2 linked regions of the Pelodiscus sinensis genome follow. The protein of the gene in region 1 purifies or fractionates together with the protein of each later gene. This does not show direct contact. Links are inferred from orthologs where the notes say so. Each region holds a gene or a part of one and is shown on either strand. Other genes may lie near its edges.

Region 1 (15,050 bases):
CCTGTCCACGAGGGGATCACGCATACATCACGAAAATTCCTATAGGGCAGTATTGTCATACCACCTCATCACTAGCTTATCAGGCCCTGCCAAATGCAGACCCTAGCATGGCATTAGACATCGAATTTTTGTATAAAAGACCCTCTACCCCTTTGTTCGACGGAGGTTCCGTGTATTGAGGGCACGTGTCTTTTTTTTTTTTCCCGGCTAAAGGATTGATCACCCTGAGGCTGCCTCCCCACCCTTCGAGTCAAATATAGGGGTGCACGAGTCCTGAGCATGCTCCGAGTTCTAGTGTGTCTTTCTGTTGTTATCGTTTCTGGATTTGTAAGTATTGCTTAAATATATTGGTTATTAGTTTAATTAATAGTTAAATTGTGTTAATTTCACTGTGTAATTCTGTAAAGTGTATCTAAGTTCTGTTAACCACACTGTTTAAATTGTATAATTTTGTGTTGTATAGTAGTGTTGTATTTAGGCTAAGTATAAGTGTTAGAAATAGAAGCCACCGAGTTGTTAAGTTGTAAAAGTAGATTTATGACTAACTCCACCAGCTGTCCTAAAATAACCATAGAGGGGCGGGCTTTGGACGGAGTTTTTATTATCATTATATTGGCTTTGTTTTTGTATTTTTCGTTAAGCAAATTAGAGACAGTGATTTGGTATAGTTGAATTGTAATCAAAGAAGTTTGTAATTAGTTAAGTACAGCTAAGTTTAGAGTTTTCTACCCTGTAAAAGCATTGGGCAATTGCTAGTTTAAAAAAAACCATTTCCTAGTTGTTAGTTTTGATTAAAAAAAAAATCATTCCACTTAATAAAAATAATTTGTTTCACCATCATCCAGTAGTTTTCACTGGGTAGTCGGCTTTAACCCTTGAGGCTCCCATCACATCACCGAACCAAAGTGTAACAAGGGGGAAGGATGTGCTTCCTGAGCTCCTGCAGGTGAGCTCTCTGAGAAGCCAGACTGGGAGGCCAGCGAGCGGGGACCAGCCAGGGAGGCTTCCAGCCCAGAGGAGGAGGAGCAACAGGTGGATGCTGCAGCAGAGACTGGCCACAGAAGGGCCTGACCCAGAGGATGTAGGTGGGGAAGACGCCAGCAATCCTGACAGGGTAGGAAGTGGACCAGGGTGCGGAACTGAATTCCTGAGCTTAGTGTGTTTTGGGTGGAGCTAGTGGTGTGATGCACCCACCACTGACACGACCTGGTGGAGAGGGAGGGCCCGGGTCCCTCTACTCCACCTCCTTATTCCCCAAGGGGATGTTACACTTTCATTTCTGACTTGGATGCTAGGCTGCACTGCCTTGGTGAAGGGGGCATTGCTAGAGACTCCAGCTGCTAGGCCACACTGCCCTGGGTGAAGGGGGCATTGCTAGGGACTCTGGCTGTCAGGCCACATAGTCTTGGGGACAAGAGACTCTGGGATATAACTGTGTTGGGGTTGTAGAAGATGTGGGGTGTGGTGCCACGAGGCCCAGGGGCTCAACAGTGCCCCCGGTGAGGGACAGAAGAACTACCCTGCAACACATCCCTAGTTGGGTCATTCACAACTTTTTTTTAAAGCCTCTCTCATTTGCAGTGCCCCTTGATGTGCTGTCCTCAGTGTCCTGGTGTCTGGCTGCTCATAATTAGCAGATATGTAATCTACCTCAACCTACTCCCTGCCATGTACATTTCCCTCTTACACTCTCAAATATTATGGAGCACACAGCAGGCTACCATAACAATGGGAATGTTGCTTTTGCTGAGTTCTAACCTAATTAATAAACTGCAAAACCTTCCCTTTAAATGTCCAAAAGCACAATTCTGCACTTGCTCAGTCTGTAATTGGACTGCTCCTTATAGCTGTCCAGGATGCCTGTGTATGGCTTCATGAGCCGTGGAAGCAAGGGGTAGGCTGGCTCTCCACAGATCACTATTGGTATTTTAAAGTCTCCAATGGTAATTTTCTGGTCTGGGAATAAAGTTCAAACTTGCAGCTTTCTGAAGAGACTGGAGTTTCTAAAGATGCACCTGTCATACACGTTTTCCAACCACCCTATGTTGATGTCAATGAAACAGAACCTTGTGATGCACCAAAACTTGCAACACCATTGAGAAGTACCCCTTACAGTTTATGTACTCCTTGGCAAGGGGGTTAGGTGCCAAGATGGGTGTGTGTTCCATATATTGCTCCCCTGCAGCTAGGGAACCTCATTGCAGCAAAGCCATCTACTATGTCCTGCATGTTTCCCAGAGTCACTGTCCTTCATAGCAGAATAATATTGCTACTTGGATCACATCAGCCCCACATTGTAGATTTCCCTGCTATGAACTGATTCCCAGCTGACCAGTAGCTGTCTGACATTATAAGCTTCCAATAGCAAGAGCTATTACTACTTGCTTCTCAACTGTTAGAGTGGTATTTCTGTGCTTCAGGGAGCGGAAAAGGAATCTGCAAAGTTCCAGGAAAGTGGCCTTATGCATACAGAAGTTTTGCAGCCACTGCTGATAGTGATATAGCCAGGGTTCGACAATTAATGTAATGGGCGAGTAGATTTTAGCCTGGCACGGCCACGCAGCGTGGTCTGCGCATGCACAGCATGCGGTTCCGTGTGGCTGGTGAGCGGGGCTCGCCGCCGCTTGGCGAGCCCTGGATATAGCTATGGGACAACGTGGGCCTACTAGTCTATGCTTGTCTCAAGGCACCAGAATCAGCATTCCACTGTGTCAACAGGATCGAATGCTGCCAGCATCTGCTCATTGCTCCATTCAATGGTTTCATGCATGTTTGTGTTCATGTCCTCTTCGCATTCTTCTTTGTTCTGTCGGCTCCTTTCTAGGCCCTGGACACACGGCAGCATAAGGCGTGAGGTATCTGCAATGCTTGCCTCGGCTCTTTGCAGTTGAAAGGGGTCCATGGTTGCCTTACTATGGCATCTACACAGAAAACCAGGGAAAAAGGGGAGTGAAACAATCGTTTGCTATGGCTTTCAAGCAGGATGGGAGGGAGAAAAGTGCACCATGGGTAGCTGATGACACTACACTGTTTTTCTCCCATCAGACATTAGGAGCCTAACCCAGAATGCAAAGGGGGCAGCAATAACTGTGGGATGGCATCCCACAATGCATTGCTGTCAAAGTCAAAGGTGGCCACCCCACTGGGGATGCACTGTATTGAACTCTTGTGCATAGTGGGGACATGCACCTTCGAATTTACAAAATGGGGTGCTGAAAAAGTAAACAGACCTTAATAGATTCAACCTAATCTTGTAGTATAGACATGGCCTCAGACTTCTATAACTTATGCCGACTACAAAAATGCAGTCTAGGATCAATATGGTGTAGGGATGTGTCCTACCTTCAGCTCCTTTCCTGCAATTACATCACCCTTCTTTGGTATGCCGGTAGGAGGAGAATACATGTCATACTCTGGCATTAGAGAGTGGATGAGGTAATATCTTTTGCTGGACCAATTTATGTTGGTAAAAGAGAGAAGCTTTTGAACTGCTGTAAAATGTATTATCTCACCCACCTTGTCTCTCTACTATCCTGAGACCAGCATGGCTACCACTACGCAGCCTGGCTTTCCGCACAGCAGAATCATCTGTGCACTGAGATGATCCTCTCTGGGCTGTTCAAACCTTTTAAGCACAAATTTCACCACCAGCCCAGTGCAAAGTTGCTTCAAAGTACCTGAGGCTCTGGCTAGCCTGTGTTACTAATAACATCCTCACTTATTAGGATTTTAAAATCAAAAGCACTCTTCATGCTTTCTTGATTTTTTTGTACCTTTTGTATTTCAATTTGTTTGGACAGCAAAACCAGCCTAGTCAAGGTCATAGTCCTTGTATAGTCAATTTCACTCTCTGACTCTCATTCCCCAGCACAATGCTATTGTGTTTGACTTTCCATCACCCCAGGGAAAAATTTTATTTTAAAATAGCTTTAATTAAATGTAAAGAGTAATTCATGAAAGCATTTCTATTTGTATTCACCTCTCATTCATAAACAATAAATATTGGGCCTAAACAATTTGACAGTGACATTTGGGCATGGACCTATATGTTCCCCTCTGCTATTGTAACCAGAGGAGAGCAGAAGCTGGTGGAATAAGACCTAGAAAACATAGAAAGGAGCATTCTGGATCTGCATCATTCTCTTGTCTGACCTACAGTGACTTATGTTCTCCCCTCTGACCTACAGAAACCTACAGAGACACTTGGACTTCATGAGTCATTGGAAGATCAAAGTTAGTGACCTCTGCCAAAAGATGACTCCTCACTAAGCTTTCCTTTCCCTGGAATCTACCAGGATCTACTGTGCCTGAAGGCTGTGCCTCTTTTCTCATCCAGGAATTCCCAAGTATCTGAGCGGAGCATTCCAAGGAACCTTGTGGAGTTTCCTGAGCTGCTAAACCCCTTCCCAATGCTTCTCATTTTAATAGGACAGGGTTTGGCCTGTAATTTTCATCTGAAGGATTAGTTTTTTATGAAAAACCGGCTATGGCCATTACACAGGGAATAATTTTGGTGGTGGGGGAGAGGGGTTGAGAGGTGTGCACAGGGAGACCCTTCTTCCTGACCTAATGCAAGCCACACTCCTTCCTCTCCTTTCAACAGTGCTTTGTATGAAAGAAAGGGCTGGCTAGTTAACTAGTGGGCTTGAGTGAAAGAGATGTCCTTCTGGGAGGTCTTCTGGACTTGCAGGGGTTTACCAAAACTTAGACAAAACACAGGCTTGTTATGTGTAGGCTTAATGTGCAAACATTTCAGTAACTTTTTTTAAATTTTCCAATAGTGCTGACAAGGTATTAGGTGCTTTCTGCACAGAAAAGAAAACTCAGAGCCTTTTCCTAACGTTTTAGGCCCTATCTTGAGGAAGACTTACCTAAACACTAGAATCTGTCAGCTCTGTAGAACCTGTAAATCTGTGTATGCATTATGGCATAAAAGGACAAAGCACTCACAATGATGTAAATTAAGAAACCTCTTATCAATATGTTTGGGTAAAAATATACTTGTAAATTTTGCAAAATGTTGGGGCCTGATTCTGCCATTGAAATCCCATGGTAATCAATGGGCTTTTGCAAGGACCTTGAGTTCTGTATATGCAGTTATACTTCTATGATCCAGGCCTGTGTTTGCATAAAAAACATTTAAACTTTGAAGATACTTTAAAACTCTTACTCTTCAACAGGTTAATTTTGTTTTTTTCAATATTTCCATTTAAGAAAACTTAAAATTTACTATAAATGTAAATCAAATCCTTGAAACTATTTGTATGCAATATTATGGTTAACCTTTTAAAGGAAAATGAAGCAGGAAAACTGTGGGGTTGCTAACACGTGTAACTCTACCTTTTTGCAGATAGATAGCATTTTTTCTTGTATATAGTGACATTAACTTTTCTGTTTTGATATGGAAGAGAACTTAATTAAGAACCCAATCCTGAAAAAAAGTGTGCATGTATGACTTGTATAAGCAGTCCAAATGAAGTAAGCAACTCCTGTGAATAAATGTATGCCCATGCTGTCTGTCTTTCCAGGAACAAGATTTGTCAGTAAGGCATTCGTTAAAAACACCTTTATCCGATTGCAGGGTCTGATTCTGGAAGCTATTGTTTGCCTTAAACTTCTGATAAAGTCTTTGGGATGGAAATGGTTTTGAGGTGGCTTTAGCAGTTGGAAGGGCATCATCTCTATAGAGCAGGGGTCAGCAACCGATGGTTCATTAGCCTAATATGGCTCAGTATGGAACCAAACATGGCTCTTCTGTCATTCCCAAAACAGATGCAACTTCTAAAATTAAAATGAAAAATTAATTCCAAAATTTAAAAACCATGTTATTACTCTTTTCAAGATGGTCTTTTTTTGGAGTCTATTTCACCTTTAACCAGAGGTGAAAGTAAGGCGGTGTGCCCCAGTAAGAACCGGCTGCACTGTGGCAAAAGCCAATTGTGGGACTCTGCTCATTTAACAGGCCAGCTGAGGGCGCACTGGAGGGGACGCATGCACTCTCCCAGCCAGGATAGTGACAGGGGCTGTCAGTGGCAGATGCCTCCATCTTGGCTGCACTGGGGCAGACCCTGTGGCCCAGCCATGATGGCCCTGCAACTGCTGCAATAGCCTGGCTGCAATAGCCACGGCAGCCTGACCAACAACGCCCTATTTGGGGCTCAGCCCGCATCTGGCTGCAGCGGCCTGTGCCTAGCCCCGATCCTAGGGCAGGCCCAGCGGTCTGGCCCCCGTCTGGCTGCAGGAAGGGCTGGCAGCGGCCCCCCTCCTGCTGCAGCATGGGTAGTAGGGGATGCCACGATCTGGTTGTGGCGATACTGTTCCAGCCCCATATCCAGCCATTGCTGCCTATGTGCAGCAGCCCAGCCCAGCCCAGCCCAGCCCTGGCCAGGAAAGGTAATCCAGCCCCAAGGCTGCACCCCATACTCTACTTCCCTCCCCCAGCACCCTGACCTGCCTCTCCCACACCCTCCAGCCACCTCCCCTGAGCCCTTTATACACCCCATCCCTGACTCCTGCACCCTCACATCTGCAAACTGCACCCCCAGCAGCAGAAGTCCCATTAAATAAAGTCTATGAGTACATTTCATTTATGCTATAATTAATCATGTCAATTATCAATCATATTAAGTTGGATATTTTCAGTCATGCAAATGGGCATTCTTATGCTGCTCTTTGTTGACCACTTGTTCTCAATTTTAATGTAGTTTGACTCTGGTTTGAAAAGACTGCCGACCCCTGCACTGAAGCATGTTGGTCTCAGGGTAGATTAATACAGGATGATTTGTGTTTGTTTGTAACAACTCATTGCAATAGCCCTAGCTTTACCCTTTACTGACAATCAACTGGAGCCACATTATAGGCGAGGTAACAATGGTGATTTTGAGTAATTCCTTGTAGGGAACTATACGTTCCTAGGAATGTACTGGTAAGAGTGTTTAGTAGACCATGTTTCCCCAATACCCTTTGGTCACTTAATAAAAGTAGCATAAAAAACATTTTTACATTCTGTGCAACTCAGCTAAGCGCTGTGATCCCTATAACAACGCTGCTGGCAGCCCTCAAGGGGTAAATTAATTTCATCCTTCCATTATGCAGAAGCAGATATAGTAAGGCTGATGGAAAGGTGTCACTACAGCTTCTCCCTTCCATAGTGTTGTGCACGTTCAAAGTGCTGGGCAAACATGCTTATTCATCCTGATGTGTCCCTCAGAGCTGGACAATATCTGCGAGCCCTTTCAACCTTGATCTGGGAATTCCTCTGCTTTCCTCCTCCTTCGACTAGCCTTGGGGATTTGCTCTAGACGACGCTGGGCTGGGTCTCTGTGGCTAACACGCGTCTGGAGCGTGTATTGTTACCAGGGGGGTGGGGTGGTGTGATGTGTGTCTCCAGCCCTCGCCTGGGCAAGGCAGGGCAGCGCCCTGAGCGGCGCGGAGTGAGGCCGGACTTAGTTATCTATTGTTCTCTGCCACACCCCTGCTGAAGAGGGAGAGAGCCGCCGAGACACTCACACGCCGAGGCTGGGAGAGGAGCCGAGGATTTTTTTTTTTTCCCAGAAGTGCTTTGGGGTGTTGTGTGTTTCCGCTGGTTTTTCCTGCCGGAGAAGGAAAGGGGGAGCTGTTTGCTCTCTGCCCACGGTCTCTTTGGTGTCGCTTTTCTCCTCCTCCCGTGGTTATCTTTGTCTCACTCCCGCAACTCAGCCCAGCGCTGCAGGTCGGCACGGAAGCGCCCTGCCCAGTGCCTTGTGCCCGGGTGCCGGAGCCGGGCAGCCCCGGCGAGGAGCAGCAGCAGCAGCAGGGCGCCCGCGGACCGCTCCTTGGTAGCGCGCCGGGCGGGTGCGAGCGCCCTATGCCGGAGCGGGGCTGGCGGAGCGGCGCTGGCTGTGTAATGCCCGTGCCCGGGCGTGCAGGGCAGAGAGCGGCTGGGAGCTGCCAGCGCCGCCTCCCCATGGTGTAAATCCGCTGCCGACACACGCTCGCCCCAGCTGAAGCGAGCAGGGGAGGGGGAAACCCTCCCGACCCCAGCTCCCTCGCCGGGAGCCCGGCCAGCGCCCGCCGCTGCCTCTCGCCCCGTGCAGCAGGGGCTGGCGTGAGGCGGGCGCAGCAGCTCGTGCAGCCGCCCGGCGGGGCTTGGCAGCCCGGCGCGCACAGACACACGAAGAGCAGGGAAGATGGCGAACGATTCTCCGGCGAAAAGTCTGGTGGACATCGACCTTTCCTCCCTGCGGGTGAGTGCGGGCGCCGGGCTGCCTCCGCCGCCCACCCCGGGGGCAGCGCTCTGGCGGGGCTTTGTTAGGGCGAGCCCGGAGCGCGGCGGGGCTGGGTGGGGGCCGAGGAGTGGCGGGGCTTTGCTCCCAGCTTGGGGGGGCAGCTGCCGCCCGGGAGGGACACTGCTGGCCGGCCGGCCTGCTTGCTGCTGGCCCGCCCCCCCCGGAGTGGGAGCTCCTTGGGGGTGCGCGCGCGCGTGTGTGTGTGGGGAGAGGGGGGAGAGTTCAGCCCTGAGCTGCTTTCCTTTGTTTGCATGTATTGGCATGTGCGTGGAAAAAACAGGGCGCAACAGCTGCACCGCCAACATCCTCTCTCGCTCCAGACCCTGTTTTACAAGACTCTCTCTGCCATGAGCCAGCGCCTTGCAAAAAATGTAACCCTCCTTCTCTCCCCCACCCCATCCCCCCTCTTGTATCTTGTAGGACCCAGCTGGGATTTTTGAGCTGGTGGAAGTAGTTGGTAATGGCACATATGGGCAAGTCTACAAGGTTTGTGTCAATTTCTCTTCTATCTCTCTTTGCACAACACCTACTCCCCTGCTTTGTTTACTGTACATCTGAGGGCAGGGCCCCCTAGGCTGCACACAAAAGTTAAGAACAATACAAAAAAATCTCTTCTGGACAGAGCAGCTAACGTCTACCTTTTCAGTTGACACTACTGGGATTCAGAAAGGGGGAACAAATGACTTCAGAGTTACCTCTTCTGACTGGGTCTATGATCTTCCTGGTTTATTTTATAAAATGAACAAAGCAAATGATTGCTCCAAGTATACTGTGCTGATAAGGGTCCATATAAGTAGACATGTGCTCATTGAAAAATCAGAAGGATTCTAATGGCAGACACTGTTTCTGTGTTTAAACAAAGCATTGACTTCACTTAAAATTGTGACCAGTTTGCCTTGCTGAAAACGTTCAGAATTCTTAAGATGCAAAGTCCAGGCTAAGTGGTGTGGCATCATTTCCTGCTGGGGAGAGGGCATAAGTGATAGGGGGGCAACCAAAGTAGGACAGATTTATTTGTCTGGAGATAAATTCAGCATTCCGAGAATAACCTGTTTGACAAGTGGATGATTTGGGGGGTGGGGGGTAGCCAAAGAGGATAGTGAGAAGTAAGATATTGCTCATGTGGGTGTGAAACAGCTCTACTCTGTACAGTGTTTAGTAAGTGGAAAAAGTAAATCTGAGATTGCATGACTTTGTAAGGAGCAGCAGTTATGAGTGATTAATAGTGAATAGCCATACAGTATAGTAAATGGGGTAAGGATTGAAGAAGTCAGTAATTGTTCATGTTCAGATGCAAGGGATTGGAGGGAGAGTAATTGGAAATAACAGAACATTGTTTTCTCTTATTAGTAAGACAATTTACCATCATTACATGGCTAAATAAGCTGTTTGGTGTGTCTTCGATTAACAAAATGCATTTAGGTTTGTTTTAAAAGGGTGAATGTTAGTCTCATTGATTGAGAGACAGCATGTGTCTCCTTGCTATACAAGTTAAATTTTAATAGTAGAAATGAAGTAATTTGGCTGTCTCTGTGTGCCAAAGTTGGAAAACCATATGGCTCAACAGGCCTGAGTAAGATAGGAAGATTGATTGGAGGCTGACCTTTGACATCTCCCTCAGGCTAACCCATTTAATAATTATTTTCTGTCATCTTCCTGCCCACAAAGCTTGCATCACCTGAGCCCTCCTTAAAAGAAAAAGTAGGGTGTGTGTGTGACTGTAAACTCCCTTTGTAATTATTGCAGTTGGCACATTGTTAGCTGACTTACCTGATAATACTTTTAAGTTAATTAGTGTGCTCATTGTTGGGTTAACTGACAATGGATGCAAATTTTTCATTTTGTTTAAGTATCCTAGAATACTCTTGGCAACCTGTTTTAAAAAACTAAGCTGAACAAATATGTATATGAATTTGAAACAATAGAAAATTATACCAGATTTAAGTGGCAGTCACTTTACTCCGATGACACACAAGCTAACGTTTGTCTGAGCTCTGGCTTCTGCATAACAAGTGTTATTTTTTTCTGTATTAAAAAGAGATATAATATCTCTCCCTCCCCCCCAGTAATTGTTTTGGGAAAAGGTGATTGGGTACTGCAGTCTAGAAGTTATTTAAATGCTGCTTTGTTATAGAAGGAAACCTCTCTGACACTAGATGGTGTTTGACTAAGTGGGGTGGTACTGTATGTAGTCCTAGTATAGCCACACCACACTTGTCCAAAACATGCCATAGGGCTTTTTTTTTTAAATATAAACAATGGTGTCATTCTGAGATTTTTGTGCAGTTGAGTTTTCAGTGTGAAGAGAATGCAACATAGAGCCCTAAATTAATATTTTATTTCCTCCTGGTTTTACTGTTGGTTCTTTTTTTTTTTTTTTTTTTTAAATCCAGTGTCATTCAAAGATGAGTGTGATTTTTTTTTTTTAAATAAAAAGTTTTGACTTTTTTGGAAAATAAGCGATTAACTGAACAGTAAATGGTATGGTGAGCTTTCGTGGGCACAATCCACTCATGATACCATCTGTAATTTTTTTTTTTTTTAGTCTCTAAGATGCTGCAGGACTAATCATTGTTTTTCAATGACAGAGTAACACGGCTACCCCTCTGACACTAACTGAACAGTGTGTGCCCCTGTTTTCCTCAGCTCCATCCTTGTAATATGTTGATGTTTATAGTTTTTACTTTTTGACTGCAAATGGTTGTAGTACATGCCTTGATGCCAGAAAATTGTATTTCCATTTGACAAACAATGGGTAGAAGTTTTCAGACATGGCTGTTTTGATTTATTTCCTTGTTTGTGTGTTGCCGTCACTGACATGCCATCCCAACCAGAGGGATATGGTTGTCTGGCTTTCTGTGGCTGCAGAGACTACCCCAAGGCAGTGTATTTTGTTGTCTTTTTGTCTAGCTTATAAACACATACATGACTGTTTATGCTGATTGCCTTTCTAGGGATCTTCATTCATTTCAGACTGGGGAGGGGACAGGGATAGACGTATCTGTCAGTCTCTTCCCTTCTCAACCTCAGCAGTGCTCTTTTGGAACATTTCCCTGCATGTAAGAAAATAAGCCCAAGGGGTGTGGTTTTTTTTTTAAGAGCACCTAAAATTAGGCCCCTAAACCATGTTGTAGGTGCCTATATAAACTCCAGTCCTGAAATGAGCAGCACATGTTCAGAGCCTTCACCCGCATGCAGCCACATGGACTTTGGTGGATCTTTGTGGTGTCACACTGCCTGCTAACTTTGGAGCCAAAGAGCTTCCAGCTGCTCCTTTTGAAATCAGCAGCTTCCCCCATTTTTCTTCTTTCTTTCATAGCTTTGCTTATGCCTCTGCATTGCCCTGGGGAGACTCAGTTTGCACTTAAGAAAAGCATGTGATGCAAAGGTGAATAGGAAAAAACTGTGCATGAGATTCAGTGCACTGTTTGTGACTAAGATGGAAATTCTTTGGCAATTGTATATTTAGTAGAGGGTGATTAGTTAATTGATTAGTATTTGTCACAGAGTCTAAAAGATTAACAGTCCCTCAAAAGATAACTTCATAGCTGAAGGAAAGAAAAATTCAACTTGTCTAGAAGTTGAGTGTTTTTTGAAATATAAAAAGAATAATAAGAAATCCCTGAATGAAGGTGTTCTGAGTGAATGGTATTTGTTCTAGTTGAGGGAGAAAAGAGTTAACATTTATGAGACACGGTGAGGAGAGTTAGCCTCTGAATTACCATGGACGTATGTAGATAACTATTAGGCCTTTTGCTTAAAAAATAATACACATTTTAGAGAGCAAAAATTCTTATGATTTTGAGAGAGGAGTTTCTCTTTAACAGGTTGATATCAGCTGATCTTGAGCTAAATGGCATGTAGAGACTTGCCCACAAGCATATATTCCCTTCTTGCACAAAAAAAGTTTGAATGGTTTGATGTAATTGTTGAGAAAATTTACCCTGTGTTTGCCTTGTTTATATTTTGGAGCCTTCAATACCTTTTTTGTAAAAAAACAATAGAAAAATGTAGTTATTGAAGTTACTGAGTGTTACCAGGGTTTCTACTCTTTATTTAACTACTATTGTACACTCACAGGGAATTACCCAAATGGCATGGAATTTAGCAGGAAAATGGTGTTATCGGGGTTGGTTTTGTTCTGTCTTTTGAAACAATGAAGCCTTCATATAGTGTGGCCTCTGGTCCTTAACTCAGTCCAACTTTATCAGAGTACTTAAGTGTAGCTCTAATTTAGTCACTGATTTGGCAACACGTGTCTTTAGAATTCTGGAGATCATTTGCAAATATTGCAGGAGCAGTTTTGCACTTCTGTAATTAAAATTTTTTTCCCCACATCGCAATTGTAAATCTTACATTAAAGGGTAACATTCACCCCAAATGAAAATGTTCACCATATTTCATCTGAGAGCTTTAAGTCTGGTAGCAAACTCTGTTTATTGATTTGGTAAAACATACAGAAACAGGGCTATGTAACTTAAGAATATTCCTTGACCCTTCAAGAATCTTATTAATTTCAGATCCGTTTAAACACATTGTTTATAGATACATACTCTATAAATTAACTTCAATGGGAAATGCATGTAGAGTACGATAATGTGATTTTTCTCTTGCACTTTTAAAAAAGATAACAAAGATATCAACATCTTAAAGATTTTGTTCATTGGTGTCACTTTTCTCTTTCACACATGTATTTTGAGACCTCATATTTCTTTAGTTCCTAGGGGGAGAAGGGTCCCTGGTAGGTTAGAGACATAATGGAGCAGTGCTAGGAAGCTCAAAATTAGGGATGAAAGTTCTAATTACCCTTATTTCATGCTGGTGTTGCTTTCTAAGAGCCTTGTGAGAGTTAATTCATAGTGAAGGCTTCTTTTGTTGAATTCTGTCACAGTCTTCCAAACTGCATGTAAATGATTCATATTGTCTAACTTCTGGCTTCTGAAAGGACATGATGTAAGATATAATGATTGTAAATGATTATTTAAAAATAAGTTTAAAAATGAGAGAGATTTTTCTTTCATTAAGGGTACCCTATTGTTATCTTAATGCAGTTTTATTTTAAAAAGTGGCTTCATTTTTTTGAGCTTGATATTCCTAACTAATAGCCAATTGATTTTTTTTTTGTTCTCCTGCTAGTAAACAGACAACATTGTGAATTCTAATGATGATGTTAAATGTGAATACAATTCCAGTCTTATCACTATGAAGACAAACTGTGTTTCAGTATCAATGATGTCACTTGATTTCATGAACTGGCTCAGACCAGCTTATTTAAGGATGAGCTGCCCTCCTTTTTAGCTCTCTTACTTTCTGGGGGAATTCAATTGTGTAGTGATGGGTTTTCTCAGGAGGAAGCAGCAATGCCAAAATCATTGTGATGCAGAAAAATGGTATTCTTCTTCCTAAAGCTAAATGTATTCTGAGTTAATTTTCAAAAGAAAGATCACTGAACTTTTTGATCATCCTTCACTCCCCCTCAATAATTTTAATTAAATATACAAAGGGTAGGCAGGTGGCCAGTGGGGATTACTGATATTTGCTTTTATTTAAAAAAATACAACCTGCTAATTGTGGGTAACCACATGTTCCTCTTGCTGGTATTGTCAGCCTCCCTCCCCCATTCCATCTGTCTGTCAGACCTGCTTTTCTGTATCTTGTCTTACATCAAATTGCGAGCACTTGGCGCAGGGACTGTCCTTTGCATTGGTTTGTACAGTGTCAAGCACAATGGGGCCCTGATCTTGTATGAGGCCTGTACATACTATTGTAATGGAATGCAATATTAATAGCTTGACTCTTAAAAGTCGGTGGAAAGATTCTGTCTGAGTTCAGGAGAAGCTGGATTAAACCCTTTCCTGTGTCTGCTTTACTTTTATTTGTAGTATATTATCATGTCTACAGTTGTTGCTAAGGCCAAGTCTCGCAACACCCAGCTCACTCTGTTGTGCTTGTTAGGGCTGTTCCCTTTCCCCAGGGTCCAGAGAAGTCCCTCCTTTGGCTGGGGGGCCTGAATGGGAGGAGATTGTGGGGAGAGGGCTATGCACACAGGTGCCCTCCTGCCAGCCAGCAGTGCCCCATAGAGTTTACAAGGACAGGATACTACAGACTAAGGCTGTATTTTTCTTTGTGGAGCCAAGGAGCCAGAGGGGCACCATCAGTGCAGAGACAAAGGATACTCCACGACAGTAGTCTACTCTCTACAGCCATGGTGACGTATGTTTTCTGCCTCTAGATGGGCTAGTGTAGGAGACGCTCCAGAATGGGACCATTATGTAAGATGTCTTTCTCCTGGCCCCCACTTGCATGAGAAGAGGTGATCGGGCTTTTATATTATCTTGCTTTTGTTGTTTTAGTGTAAATCTTGAACTCAGATTTTTCTCTCTTGCAGTCTAGTGTTCTTTTCTCCCTAGAAGTTTTTGTAAGTGAAGTTTGTAGTTTGAATAGCAGTTTTAGCTGCTTAACTCAGGCCTGGTCAGCACTTAGAAAGGCACTCAGAACTGTGAACAATTTTGTGTCCTGAGTCCTCTGGTTAGGCTGACCGAACCACTGGTGTAGATCACTATAACAATTCTTCCTTTGATCTAGCTATCTCCTAGAAATGGAGTAATAAAATTGAATAGTATGTAACTGGTTAACACACTACAAAGGCAATTTCCCTGCCTTTGATATCCACACTTACACATCAAAAGCTATGACTGGGACACACATCTAGCCTGACTCAATTAACGTGATTAACACTCGTCCTACAATTGACAGGTAACTGCTTTCGTGCAAGTGCGCGCG
Region 2 (15,350 bases), on another chromosome or scaffold:
CTCAATTTAGAGCCCCAGGAAGCACTGGAGAGTAATTACTCTGAATGGCCCTGGGGAGGAGCTATTCTAAAATAGCAGCAGTGGAGTGTCCACACTACTGCTATTTCGAAATAGCTATTTCAGAATAGGCGTTATTTCTCGTGGAATGAGGGTTTATTATATGGGAATAAGAAGCCCGTTATTTCAAAATAATTTCAAAATAGCAGGCTCACTGTGTGAACGCTCACCTTATTTCAAAATAATGTGAGTTATTTCAAAATAACGCTGTAGTGTAGACGTGCCCTTAGTGAAGGAATAACATGTCTGAGCAAAATACAACTGCTTGTGCACTATGAATTGGGAGCAGGGCCATCCTTAGGACAGATTAACAGCTTTTTTTTCTCCTGAAATTGACAGGAGACCACTCCACTGTTCGGAACAGGAATTGACCCAGAACAGAGCCCATTGTGTTAGGGGCTGCACAAACAAAGAGTTAAAAAAAAGTGTGCAGTCAGACAGACAACATGTAGAGGAAAAGGATAGTACCTACATATTCTGTAGGATGGAAGGCTCACTTCAGATACTGTCAAGCAGAGTTTTCGGGTATCCAGGAACAAACAAGATCGTGTGTTGACGTAATAGGATTCTTCTCTGAATGCTACAAATTGTCAGCACAGGATGACATTTGAATGTGTTAAAAAGGGACAGAGTTTTAGTTCAAAGTGGAAGTGGGAGCTTTGTGATTAATTTTTTTCCAGTCAGTTCCTCTGAGGGATGGGAGGGAACACTTGTATTTTCATACTGACATGTACAGGAGAAGTGCTTTGTCTGGGAAATCCCACTGTTTGACAAACAATGTCTAATACTGTAATTTGGCTGTCTTTGTTGAAGGTCATTTCTGCAGATTTTCAGTCATCAGTTACTTTTTTTACTATCCTTTACTGACACCTAGCGTCTCTTGAGCTCATGTCCTCTAAGACAATGAGTAAACTAGGAGAGCAAGAAAAGTAACAAAATTCAAGTAATCAAACCAATAATTTCCTAGAGCCATAGGACACTAGTCTCTGTTTCACGATATTCTGTATCAGTTCTGTAAGACTTTTCATACAAAAATCAACAGCAAATAAAGCTAAAGAGTCAAGTCTCAGCACTGTGATAAGAACCTATTCACACAACTAACACGTCCCTTGGGGAGCAAGTTCTAATCAGTGCAAACTGAATATATAGAATTTCTTTTAATGAAATTGGCTACATATTGCTTGTGTAGACATGACCAAACCAGTTTTAAGTATGCTATCCTATCAGGTGATATCCCTTCCTACGGAGTTAATAAGAATTGTTTCCCTTCAACCTTATCCTTTTTGTTACATGGTGAGTTAATAGCTCCTGACTGAGATTAAAGCCAGTGCAGGTATAGATTCACAGATCTGCCTACCTTAGAATCATAGAATCATAGGGCTGGCAGAGACCTCAGGAGTCATCGGGTCCAGCCCCCTGCCCAAAGCAGGACCAACCCCAATTCAATCAGCCCAGCCAGGGCTTTGTCAAGCCGAGACTTAAAAACCTCTAGGGACGGAGATTCCACCCCCTCCCTACGGAACCCATCCCAGTGCTTCCCCACCCTCCTAGGGAAATAGTTTTTCCTAATATCCAAATTAGACCTTCCCCACTGTAACTTGAGACCATTGCTCCTTGTTCTGCCATCTGTCACTACTGAGAACAGTCTCTCTATCTCCTTTGGAACCTCCTTTCAGGTAGTTGAAGGCTGCTATCAAATCCCCCCTCACTCTTCTATTCTGCAGACTAAATAAGGCCAAATCCCCCAGCCTCTCCTTGTAGGTCATGTGTTTCAGCCCCCTCATCATTTTGGTTGCCCTCCACTGGACCCTCTCCAATGCATCCACATTCTTTTTATAGTGGGAGGCCCAGAACTGGATGCAATACTCCAGGGGCAGATGTGGCCTCACCAGTGCCAAATAAAGGGGAATAATCACTTCTCTAGATCTGCTGGCAGTGCTACTCCTAATGCAACCTAATATGCCATTAGCCTTCTTGGCTACAAGGACACACTGTTGACTCATATCCAGCTTCTCATCCACTGTAATCCTCAGGTCCTTTTCTGCTGAACTGCTACTTAGCCAGTTGGTCCTCACTCTGTAACAATACTTGGGATTCTTCCATTCCAAGTGTAGGACTCTGCACTTGGCCTTGTTGAACCTCATCAGATTTCTTTTGGCCCAATCCTCTAATCTTTCTAGGTCACTCTGGACCCTATTTCTGCCCTCCAGCATATCTACCTCTCCCCTTAGCTTAGTGTCATCCGCAGACTTTCTGAGAGTGCAATCCATCCCCTCATCAATTAATGAAGATGTTGAACAAAATGCGTCCTTAAACCAATCCTTGGGGTACTCCACTTGAAACCGACCACCAACCTGACATCGAGATGTTGATCACTACCCGTTGGGCCCAACAGTCTAGCCAGTTTTCTATCCACCTTACAGTCCATTTATCCAATCCATACTTCATTACCTTAACTTGCTGGCAAGAATATTGTGGGAGATCATATCAAAAGCTTTGCTAAAGTCAAGGTATATCACATCCACCGCCTTCCCCATGTCCACAGAGCCAAGTACCTCCTCATAGAAGCTAATCAGATTGGTCAGGCATGACTTGCCCTTAGTGAATCCATGTTGACTGTTCCTGATCACTTTCCTTTTTTCCAAATGCTTCAAAATTGATTCCTTGAGGATCTCCTCCATGATTTTTCCGGGGTCTGAGGTAAGGCTGACTGGTCTATAGTTCTCTGGATTATCCTTCTTCCCTTTTTTAAAGATGGGCACTACATTTGCCTTTTTCCTATCATCCAGGATCTCTCCCGATCTCCACGAGTTTTCAAAGATAATGGCCAAAGACTCTGCAATGACATTTGCCGACTCCCTCAGTACCCTTGGATGCATTAAGTCTGGACCTATGGATTTGTGTATGTCTAAATAGTTCCTAACCTGTTCTTTCCCCCACCAAGGGCTGTCCACCTCCTTCCCATACTGCATTGCCTAGTGCAGTAGTCTGAGAGCTGCCCTTGTCTGTGAAGATAGAGACCAAAAAAAGCATTGAGTCCTTCAGCTTTTCCCACATCATTTGTCACATACCTCCCTCATCCAGTAAGGGTCCCACACTCCCTCTGATCACCCTCTTATTGCTAACATGCCTGTAGAAACCTTTCTTGATACCCTTCATATCCCTTGCCAGCTGCAATTCCATGAGATACAATTTCATGAGAGTATCGGTGGTGTCGCAGGTGAACATAAATATGGGGTTTAAAAGTTTTCTAATCCTGTTGCATGAAAATTGTGAGGGGGTGTAGCCATCTACAATCAGATTTCCATAGAGATATGGGTACATAATTTTTAATGTGACAAAGAGTATTATACCTTCAGAGAAGGCCTGATCCAATTTCCACTGATGTCAATAAGAGCCTTTCTCCTGTGGCTGGGAGATGAATTAGAATGAGAGAGCACCTAGCCCAGGGGCGGGAAACAAAATGGCAGCTCACCAGGGTTAATCCCTGGTGGGTCACTGCCACTATATTTACCTGCACCTCCACAGACATGGGCACTTGCTGCTCCCATTGGCCAGGAACAGCAAACTGTGGCCAATGGGAGTTGTACTCCCTGTACCTGTGGAGGTGCAGGAAAATATAGTGGGGTGGGGGCCCACCAGGGGCTAACCCTGGCAGACCAGATCTGGCCCACAGGCTGGTATTTGCCCACCCTTGATCTAAGCACACTGCTGTAGCCGTCAGTCATTCATTGTGTCCTGCAGAGGTGTGGAGACTGTTTGAGGGGTGCAGAGCTGTGTGGTATGCTTTTGGCATTCAGTCTTTTCTGGACAGCAATATGTGGCCCCTTGTGGGGAAAGGGAGGTGTGTTCAACCAGTAATAAAGAGGCAGGATGGGTTTACCAGTAACAAGCACTGAATGTGATTTCTGTTTGTGTGATGCTTTTTGCCTGAAGTTTGAGGGGGAAATGGGGAAGGGCACAGTCCTTTTGACAGCATGAGGAAGAAGGAGGCAGGCAGGATAAGCATCAGCAGGAAGAGGGCATGTGTAATGCTGAGTAGAAGGGGTGAGGCATGAGAGCGCAGCCCTTCCTAGGTTTTGGCATCATGCCCGCAATTTGCCACGCAATCAGAGCTTCACTGAACTACCCGGAGAGCAGATGGGAGTGATTGGGCTCTACCCCTCTTTTGGCTGAGGGCTGTGTCTGCATCACAGGCTTTGGAGTCCCCCTTCAAGGTAGGAGGAGATGTCAATGTTACATAGTTGGGAGTTCTCCTCAGCAAGTTGTGGGAGGCACTCAAAAGGAGAGCTGGTGGTGAAACACTAGTTCATGAAACCTGAAATGTCTATGAAAGCAAGTCCAGCCCAACAAAACTTTTGTTGAATCAGAGGCAGGTTTCCAACAGTTCAGTTCCCCTAGCAGGTTGGTGGGAACTCTGGCTTTTTGGGGTCCACATCTCCAAGTCAACCATGCCACATGAACTTCCTCACGGTGACCCTGAGTTTGCAAAGCTGCATCTCCAGGGCAACACTGCCATGTCAGGGCTTCCAGCCTCCCTGCCATGCAGGCAGAAGCTGGAATGCCCAGGGGCAGCAGTTGGCTCTTCTTGGTGCTGTTCTCAGATCCACATCTGACAGCCTGGAAGCTCAAAGAACCCTGGATAGGTGCCCACCATGTCTCAAAGCTCAGTGCCCAAGTGGGCAGCCTAAGAGCCAGCTGGACTAGGAATCTGGAAACCTTATGATCCCCAGCCATTGATGCATAGACCCTCGAGTCCTAGGAGCCGGCTGAAAGTGATAAGTCTTGTGGATCCATAAAGCTGACCAGAATGTCCATTTCAGTCTGTATCACAAATTTCCGTGAGCAAAACCCACTTAATCAGATGAGCTGGGGTGGATGAGGTGGGTTTTGACCAGGAAAGCTCATGATACTGTATATTTTTGTTAGTCTCTAAGGTGCCACAGAACTATTTAGTCTGAACAACAACATGGTTATCCCTCTGAGACATTTCAGTCTGGGGCAGTGGGTGCAGGGGAGTATGTTTCATTGTGGAAATGCCAACTTGGTATTTCCAAGGTGACACTTTTTCAGCATTTCTGGTTTGCAAGAAATGTTGCAATATCAAAATGTATCATGATCTGGACGAATCTTAGTTTCACCCAACCAATCTTAGTCTCCCTCTTTCTCCAATGGTTTGGTTTAAGTGGGATTAAAAAAAAATACAGGCCAGGACTCTACCTGAATCTTGAATCTCTACCTGAGTTATCATAGAATCCTAGACTACTAGAACTGGAAGGGACCTTGAGGAGTCATTAAGTACAGTCCCCTGCCCTCACAGCAGAACCAAGCATTATCTAGATCATCTCTGCCAGATGTCTAGATAACCTGCACTTAAATATCTCCGGTGAGATTCCACAACCTTCCAGTGTTTAACCACCCTGATAGGCAGTAAGTTTTTCCTGATGTCCAACCTAAACCTCCCTTGCTGCAATTTAAGCCCATTGCTTCTTGTCCTATTACCAGAGGCCAAGGAGAACATTTTTTCTCCCTCCTCCTTGTAACACCCTTTTAGGTACTTGAAAACTGCTATCATGTTCCATTCTCAGTCTTCTCTTTTCCAAACTAAACAAACCCAGTTCTTTCAGTCTTCCCTCCTAGTTCATGTTATCTAGACCTTTAATCATTTTTGTTGCTTTTCTCTAGACCTTCTCTCATTTCTCCACATCTTTTTCAAAATGTAGTGCCCAGAACTGGACACAATACTCCAACTGAGGCCTAATCAGCACAGAGTAGAGGAGAAGAATTACTTCTCATATCTTGTTCACAACACACCTGTTAAAGCCTCCCAGAATCATGTTTGCTTTTATTGCCAGTGTCACACTGTTGACTCATGTTTAGAAAGTATGGCAAGTGACCACCTTGACTTAACCATGAGATCTTACATGATCTAAAAATGAAAAAGGTGTCATATAAAGAGTGGAAACTGGGTCAAATTACAAAGGATGAATATAAGCAAATAGCACAAGAATGTAGGGGCAAGATTAGAAAGACGAAGGCACAAAATGAGATTAATCTTGCCATACTTTCTATCTTTCCTGTGTAGTGGAATAGTTTGCTTTTGGGCCCTTAATAATGTTCCTTTGAAAAACTGTCAACTGTCTTGTTCTTCCTTACTCTTGCTTCTCATGGGACTTTATCTACCAGCTCCCTGAGTTTGCTAAAATCTGCCTTCCTGAAATCCATTGTCTTTCCTTTGCTGTTCTCCCTTTTACCATTCCTTAGAATCATGAACTCTGTGATTTCATGATCATTTTCACCCATGCTGCCTTCCACTTTCAAATTTTCAACCAGTTCCTCATTTGTTAAAATCAAATCTGGAACAGCTTCCCCCCAGTGGCTTTCTCAAAAAGTTGTTTCCAATGCACTCCAAGAACTTTTAGATAATCTGTGCCGCGCTGTGCTAGTTTCCCAGCATCCATCTGACTATCTGAAATCCCCCATCATCACCAAATCCAGTGCTTTGGATGATTTTGTTAGTTGTTTTAAAAAAAAGTCTCATCCACCTCTTCTGTGGGGGTAGCTGGTCTGTAGTAGATCCTGTAGTAAAGTTTTTAAGAGGCTGGTGTCTCTGCTTGAAAGGTTTCCCTGGGGGCCAGGAGTGCTGGACTCTGTCCCTGAATGCTGTCTCCCCTTCCAGGTGCCAGACTGAGCTGGGGCCCGGCTCCTGGGAGTTGGGGGAGACACAGGCCCAGGCAGTGGGGAAGAAGAGCCCGAGCTGAGAGGACACAGGATGGGGCTGCCCCTACCCCCGACTGCTCCACCACAGCTCAGCCCTGGACCCGGGGCTGTTTCCTCAGGTGGCAGCAGAGCTGTGTGGCATGGCCCGGAGCTAGGGATTGGGGGCTCGGGGGGAGGGCGCTGTCACCTCCCCATAGTGGGGGCCCTCCCCGTGGGCGAGAGGTGGGGGTCACACGATTAGGGGCCCCCCTCAGGTGGGTGGGGGAGGGGCGCTGTCATCATACTGGGAGCCCCCAGGCTGGGGGCGGGGCGGTGTCGCCGCGTTCGGGGTCCCCCCTGAGGCGAGTGGGGGCGGGGCGGTGTCACATCGTTCGGGGTCCCCCCTGAGGCGGGTGGGGGCGGGGCGGTGTCACATCGTTGGGGGTCCCCCCTGAGGCGGGTGGGGGCGGGGCGGTGTCGCCGCGTTCGGGGTCCCCCCTGAGGCGGGTGAGGGCGGGGCGGTGTCACCGCGTTCGGGGTCCCCCCTGAGGCGGGTGGGGGCGGGGCGGTGTCGCCGCGTTCGGGGTCCCCCCTGAGGCGGGTGAGGGCGGGGCGGTGTCACCGCGTTCGGGGTCCCCCCTGAGGCGGGTGGGGGCGGGGCGGTGTCACATCGTTCGGGGTCCCCCCTGAGGCGGGTGAGGGCGGGGCGGTGTCACATCGTTCGGGGTCCCCCCTGAGACGGGTGGGGGCGGGGCGGTGTCACCGCGTTCGGGGTCCCCCCTGAGGCGGGTGAGGGCGGGGCGGTGTCACATCGTTCGGGGTCCCCCTGAGGCGGGTGGGGGCGGGGCGGTGTCACATCGTTCGGGGTTCCCCTGAGGCGGGTGAGGGCGGGGCGGTGTCACCGCGTTCGGGGTCCCCCCTGAGACGGGTGGGGGCGGGGCGGTGTCACCGCGTTCGGGGTCCCCCCTGAGACGGGTGGGGGCGGGGCGGTGTCACCGCGTTCGGGGTCCCCCCTGAGGCGGGTGAGGGCGGGGCGGTGTCACATCGTTCGGGGTCCCCCTGAGGCGGGTGGGGGCGGGGCGGTGTCACATCGTTCGGGGTTCCCCTGAGGCGGGTGAGGGCGGGGCGGTGTCACGTCGTTCGGGGTCCCCCCTGAGGCGGGTGGGGGCGGGGCGGTGTCACATCGTTCGGGGTCCCCCCTGAGGCGGGTGAGGGCGGGGCGGTGTCACATCGTTCGGGGTCCCCCCTGAGGCGGGTGGGGGCGGGGCGGTGTCCCCGCGTTCGGGGACCCCCTGAGGCGGGTGGGGGCGGGGCGGTGTCCCCGCGTTCGGGGTCCCCCCTGAGGCGGGTGGGGGCGGGGCGGTGTCCCCGCGCTCGGGGTCCCCCTCCGACAGGGCTGGGGGCGGGGCGGTGTCGCCGCGGCCGGAAGTGCGCGGTGTAACCCTTCCGGGCGGTCCGCCCCCCAGCAGCCGCGGGCCGGGCCATGGCGCGAGGCCGCGCCGGCCGTTAGCGACCCCCCCCCCCCCCCAGCGGCCCGGCGCAGCGCGCCCGCCGCGGCCCGGCCCCATGAGGGAGTACAAGGTGGTGGTGCTGGGCTCGGGCGGGGTGGGCAAGTCCGCCCTCACCGTGCAGTTCGTCACCGGCACCTTCATCGAGAAGTACGACCCCACCATCGAGGACTTCTACCGCAAGGAGATCGAGGTGGACTCGTCGCCCTCCGTGCTGGAGATCCTGGACACGGCGGGCACCGAGCAGTTCGCCTCCATGCGGGACCTCTACATCAAGAACGGCCAGGGCTTCATCCTGGTCTACAGCCTGGTCAACCAGCAGAGCTTCCAGGTGAGCCCCGGGGGTGACCCGCCAGAGGGGGACTGGCCAGCTGGCTAGCGCAGCCCCCTGTGGAGAGCCACCGCCCGCACCAGAGTGCTGCCAGTGGGACACTTCATTCACCCCAGCAGGCTCCTGCTGCTGTCCCTTCCCCTCCCGCTCATCAGCTCAGTGGGATTCACCCAGGAAAGCCTATGCCCTCATCCGTCAGTGAGTCTGTGAGGTGCCACCGGACGCCTGGCGGGTTTGGCTGGAACGGACTCCCTGCCCACTGTGTCCTCAGGCTAGCCTCCTCCCCCCAAAAGCAATGTTTCAGCAGGAGCAAAGCCCAATTCGCATTCACATGGGTGGCCGTGTTAGTCAGTTTCCACAAAACCAACCAGGAGTCCTGTGGCACTTTACAGACTATGGGCGGGTCAGCATGATGCCAGAAATTAGACTTAAAGTACACGACTTCAGATATGAGAATTGCAGGGATGGAGTCTACATACCCTAAACCGAATTTCTGGGGCGGTCCCAGTGCAGGAGGTCAATGGGAGAAACTCTCCCGTCAACTGTTTGTGACCCCAAGGGGTTGCCATCACCGTTCAGTAGCAGGTCCTTACTAGAGCCGCTAAATCGAACCCGAGAAGATCGATCGCCAGTGTTTGCTCTCCATGTAAGTATAGACAAGGCCTCCCAAATTAATTTTGGCATAAGCTTATGTGGGCTGGAGCCCACTTTGTCAGATGCCAACAAAAGCTTATGCCCAAAACAATATATTTATCTTTAAGGTTCCGCTGGACTCCTCCTCCATTTTTTTTTACAATTTATATTGTTAATATCAAAAGCACATTAAGAGGGAGGTGCCTTCTTTTTGCTGTTTTGTACACTCTTAGTATAGATGGGGAAAATTACCAAGCATTAGGTGGATGCTACAATACAGAGGTAGCAACACTATTCTCATTGGACTCTTGTAAATAAAGCATATGTCTGAAGTCATCTTTAAAAATAAATGTTTGTAAAATCCAAATTTGGGGTTAGATTTGACCCGTGTCCTTTTGAACACTGCTTTTTTAAAAGGAATATTTTGGCAGTTAATCTCATAAGGGTGGCTGAGTGCCTGCTTTCTGAACTGAACTTGCTATCTTATAACTTGTGAATTTTGCTAATAAACCCTGATATTTTTCTCTCTGTATAACAAGCTGCCATCAAGTGTTAGCTTGATGCTCACACAGTGTGGGCGGTGTGTTCATGAAAAAGACAGGTCACATGTGAAAATTAAATTCACAATGCACAAATTTGTACTGCAAAAACTGACAAGAAGCAGAAAAATCCCACAATCTAAGTGGCCTAAATTGTTTCTGGTAATAAGCAGCTTCCATCTGTGGGAAATAACTGGACTTGGCAACACTGTAAGTGCAGAGATGTGGATGTTGTTTGTTGGCTTCACTTAGGTTCCTTGACCTGGGTGTAGTCCAGCTGCTTGGCACAATCTTTTATACCCTCCATTTAGGCAGAATGTTTCTGCTGAAGGCTGAATGTTATCTTAGACGAGGGTACATACCTAGATAAATTGTGTGCAAGTTAGGGATTTATTTTCTTTGCAAAGGAACTACAATCATGCTGGGATGTTTCTCCCCAGTTTTATTTGACCTAGGAGTGGGGAAGTTTCCCTCAAAGCACATAGTTAAGAAAAAAAAATGAAGCGTGGATGAATATATTCCACTTCAGTCACTTGGTTTTTTTTTTCTTTAGCACATTTAATCAAAACAGTGTAGGTGTAAATCTCCCTATGAAGTTCTGTTAACAGTGGCTGCCTCAAGCACTTAATTATTTCTGTCCCAGAATCTTGCACGAAATTATACACTTTTTTTATTGTAACAAATTAAAATCTTAAATCTGATGTGGTGGAGGCAATGGAGCTATTGTTTCAAAAGTACAGCTTACAAATGTCTTTTCCCTTTTCACCTTTGGGAAGATTATTGGGATTCACATGTCTTGATTGTATCTAAATTTGTCATTTAGGCAGAACCAACTGTATGTGTGTTCACAGTGAACACTTTTAAGCAAGCTACTTAAAAGTAGCTTGGGGGAGACGATAGCGCGTTAAACATTTAATTAACTTTCTCAGGCAGAAGACTGGCCACAAGTTTCCCATCTAAGTGATCGCATAACATAGATGCGTATTGTAGACTTCAGTTTCCGTCATGAGTTTAAAGGCAAGCTTCTCTTTTTGCAGCAAATCTTGCTGACGACCAGAAAATTGATTCAGTTGTTCAAAACGTGTAACTTACACAAAATCTGCTTTTATCTTAACTAGAGCTGGGCAAGGAAACTGGTCACCCAGCCCATGAAAACACTTGAGATGTCAGTGTTTCCGGTTCTTAATCAGAATGAAACTGAGACCTTTTTGAAACTTTCCACAGAAAATTATACCCACCCTAGGGAGTTCACCTGGGATGGTGAGTGCTCTAACCACCAGGCCATTCTGGGTGTGGCCGAAAATGACTTTCTGGACCTAAGAAATCTTCTTAACGAGTTCAGGTTTTGACAAATTTGCATTTTTCAATGGAAAACTGTTTTGTCAATTCCTGACTGTCTCTAGTAATAACCAAAAGGTTTTTGAGGTAATTTTGCATTGCAGTAGTGCTTTTTCTAAACACACAGGAAGCGCAATGAAGCATAGGCATTACAAATGGAAGATAAATGTCTGAATTTGACGCACCCTAGTCTAAATCCAAGGTATCAATTTAGGAATTTTTCCTAAGCTTTTATGTTTATTTTCAGTTACACATAAGACCTGTGGCTTGTTAAAACACATGTTTTTACAGTGATCTGTTTCCTGAAACCAGTGTTAATTTTTACAGCAATCAAATGTGATTACTGTTTTAAAATGTGATTAGTATAATAAGTGTATTAACCAGTTGGATTGTTTAATCAGGATATCAAGCCAATGAGGGACCAGATTGTTCGAGTGAAGAGATATGAAAAAGTCCCCCTAATCCTAGTCGGGAACAAAGTGGATCTGGAATCTGAGAGGGAGGTCTTATCTGCAGAAGGCAGAGCTTTGGCTCAGGAGTGGGGCTGTCCTTTCATGGAAACATCAGCCAAGAGTAAAACCATGGTGGATGAACTGTTTGCCGAGATCGTTAGGCAAATGAACTATGCGTCCCTTCCTGAAAAACAAGATCAGTGTTGTACAACTTGCATTGTCCAGTGAGAAAATAAAGAAAAACCTCAGTCATGGCCATACAGAGCAGGTGGGTTGAATACTCATAATTCATTAAGATGATTAATTGTTGTGTTTGAAGGAGCAGATGAAAGTGTTTAAGGCATTGGCTTATGGGAGTTCCTGTAATGTCCATTTTATTACTAACTTCTGTATGCTGGTTTCACTTTTGATAATTGCTGTGATGTCTGGTGAAAGTCGGGAGTTGGCTCTCTGTGCTGGACACTTCAGGGCCTGAAAAAGAAATGATGAGGTTTATTTAATCTGGTCAGAGAAGCCATTCAGAATGAATGAATTTGGTGAACTCCACGTACAGGCCCCTCCAACACCCCTCTCAACATACAAATAACCTTTGGACTAAAGGCTGGAGAGAAGTGGTAACACTGGTTTCCAAATAAATCACGTTGAAGTTGGGGATTGTATTGGTTTGTAATTTGTTTATATTTAAAATAGTTGAATTGTAGTTGAAAGTAGTGACCGTATTTTGAGTTGAAAAAAATATATATGGGGGGGGTCTTGCATTCTAGCTGAAAAAACTGAAAAGGTGGAGTTTTGTAGAGACGCGCAGCCTGGTCACTCACTTGCACGACTGGTTGACCTTCAAAGGCCATGGGTCAGTTTCCCTCTCTAGCACTGCTGCTTGTGTATATATAAAGACAGGCAACAGTGTTGTATAATGAGTACCGCTGCGTTCCTCATGGCGGCTGTGACTCAGCAACCTTGTGGGAAAGAGGTCAGGACATAATCCCTGGGAAAATTGTCGTAGTCCAAGAGTCTCTCTTGGAGGAGGAAGAATAGGGAAGATATTGTACTTGAAGCTGAAGGTTGTCTGTACACATCAATATCAAGAGAGGGGATACAGGGAACTCTCCATTAATTAAGATGTATTGAATTTATGAAGCAGTTTGTGGGTGTGAAATACCTATATGACCCCTGCTACTTAGTATCTCAATCTTTAATGTACTGATGGCCTTACAACACTCCTGTGAGGTGAGGCAGTATCACTGTCCCCATTTCACAGATGAGCAGCCAAGGCACAGAAAGGCTGACTTGCTCACAGTTATATGGGACGTCTGGTGCAGCAGAAAATTGAACTGAGGTGCTTGGTTAGTCCCCTGACCACTGAACTGATAGAGCAGTACTGCTATGACTAGAGAAGCGACAGAACGTTGCCTTTTATTTGACTCAGAATGCTGCGAGGTTAGTTTTATTTTAAGAATACCAGTGAGAGTAAAACCAAACCAGATGTCAGCTAGTCACATGACTATTTCTCATGTGAGTTCCAGGCAAATTAACCCTCAGCAGTAGCAGCAGCTTCTTTCTTCTGGCACAGTGATATGGATCACAGCCTGAGAATCACTGTTCTGTTCTGTTCTATTCTATTCTATTCTATTCTATTCTATTCTATTCTATTCTAGAGTCCCAGCATCGTATTTCCTTTTTAAAAATCTTTACTGCACGCTGATCTGGTCTGTGACAGCCACCTCTCTTCCCAGAATCTGTTCACTTTAGAACCCAGCAATATGTATGATTTGTTCAGCTAGTGCACACTGGAAGGAATTATCTTGCATTTGTCAACACTGAATCACATCTCTCCTGCTGTCTGCTCACCTGTCCAGGCTTTTCTGGTGAGCACATGGTGATGGATGGACATCACTGAGTTAGTTCCCTCTGAACTTTGAACACCTTTTGCCTTGACTAAACTAAAATGTCACTTGCAAATTTTAGTCAGTTTCTGATCATCCATAACACAATTTACTTCATCACTCTGTGACATCTTGGTTTCCTTAGCACCCTCTAGTGAGAAATTTCATCTAAGACCAAATTATCTGCTGTTCTTCAAACATCATCAACGTAGTAGATAAAGAGTTCTAGTGTAAAAAAAGAGAGCCAGAATTTTCTTTCGCAGAAGCCATTCTGGTTTGTCCTTTCACATCATGTTCTCAAACAGTTTCTTTAACTTTTGTTTCAATCCCTTCATGTGACAGTTATTGGGTTCCCCAATTTTCTAATATCCCATCACACCCAGTGTTAAGAAGACGTGGTTTGCATCCGTCCCCCATTCCTTAATTTAGTAGCAAAATTTAATAAACTTATTCCTGATTAGTAGTTTGATCGCTTTATTTTTAAATTCCTTTAGCAGTCTTTTTAGACAAATATCTAGTTTTTATGTGTTACCTTTTAATTTATCAACTTGTTGCTAGGGGTGTTAAAATGCATGTTGTTAAATAACCGGGTCACTGTGTAAAATTTCAGTGGTTACATGTGGGGCGACGGGCGGCTCCCTGGGACCCAGCTTTTAAGCTGTCTCCCCACACTGTGTGAAACTGTGAACATTAACCAATTAGCCCAGGCTTATTGGTTAATTGTTTTCATGGTTAAACTTTCACATCTCTACTTGTAGCCCTTGCTCTTTTCATTCCTCAATTTGATAATCTCTTTCCCTGAAAATTCCTTGAAATATGTAACAACATTCAGTATCTTTGGTAGTGGAATAATTTATCTGCGTGAACCAGCTTGTATCCTGAATTGGTACAATACTTTCTGATGAGTGATCTCCACAGTGACTCTTGATCAGTCCTCTGCCTCTCCTTGTGCTTGGATAACCTGACACCAGTAGGAGCTTTGTGCATATCCAGATGTGAGGGGAAAGCATCTTACTGAAGTTTGAATTTGCAAGTGTCCACTTTTATTCTCCTTGAGGACAGTAGTCCTCTGGCTGATGCAGCTTTGCAAAACTGTCAGGCTCTCACAACTTGCCTTTGCTATGCAGATCTTAGAAAATCTTAATGGTTCTATTTGCTCATTAAATGACTGGTACTTTGTAAATACTGTATCAGGGCTTTTCTCCATCCATGTGCAGAATCCGTTATGTGCATGGACGTGTGCTGTTGTGCACCACCAAAGAAACAGAAGCTCTCCTGGGCGGGTATGCATGTGCGCAGCTTACAGGGGACACCGCTCTGGAGCCCTGTCTATGCTAGGGCTGCTTTCTGAAAACCTCCCTCTGGGGCTATCAGCACTTCAGCTCTTGGCATCAGGAGCCCTATTTGTAAATGGCTCATAACTGGCATTCTTAGCGTGTCCTGTGTCCCTGCTCAGAGCCGGTCCAACAGATAGCAGTACGGTTCTCAGCATTGCGAAAAGGAGTTGTAAGCAACAGTAAGGAACCGTCTGGAAAACTTTCCTAATGAAGATCGAGGCTGGGTGCCAGCACTTGCCTGATTCACTTTTTTTAGTCCCTGGGCGGAGTAAACTTTCAACTCCAAAAGAGCCCTGCTGTTAATGTTGGTCACTTGAGTTTCCTTGCAAGTTGAGCTGTTAAAGCTCGGAACAGAAAACTCTGTATCACTTTCCTATTATAGAACGCAGTCTCTGATGTGTTTTCTTCTTTTGCAACTGTCAGATGAATTGATAAAGGAAATTTGAAAGGTCATGACACCCTAGAGAGAAACATCATTCAAAACAGGAAACACTTTTTCATGTTGAAAATGCCATGAAAACTTCAAATAGTATTTTCCTGTTGTGTTATACGATAGATTGTTTCCTGGATCCT

What was found.
Region 2: the proteins of MAP4K4 (region 1) and RAP2C purify together in Homo sapiens (affinity purification with mass spectrometry; 3 studies listed by BioGRID and IntAct, counting the BioPlex papers as one, with this or other methods). This does not show direct contact. The link is inferred for Pelodiscus sinensis from reciprocal best matches to the Homo sapiens genes MAP4K4 and RAP2C.

What each region holds. Positions count from the first base shown.
Region 1 is NC_134711.1:230,988,368-231,003,417, forward strand, and holds the start of MAP4K4 (mitogen-activated protein kinase kinase kinase kinase 4), read left to right. Parts: upstream 1-7,271; 5' UTR 7,272-8,168; coding exon 8,169-8,225; intron 8,226-8,687; coding exon 8,688-8,753; intron 8,754-15,050.
Region 2 is NC_134723.1:45,812,497-45,827,846, forward strand, and holds RAP2C (ras-related protein Rap-2c), read left to right. Parts: upstream 1-8,131; 5' UTR 8,132-8,322; coding exon 8,323-8,595; intron 8,596-11,506; coding exon 11,507-11,785; 3' UTR 11,786-11,825; downstream 11,826-15,350. UniProt on the Homo sapiens protein: Small GTP-binding protein which cycles between a GDP-bound inactive and a GTP-bound active form. May play a role in cytoskeletal rearrangements and regulate cell spreading through activation of the effector TNIK.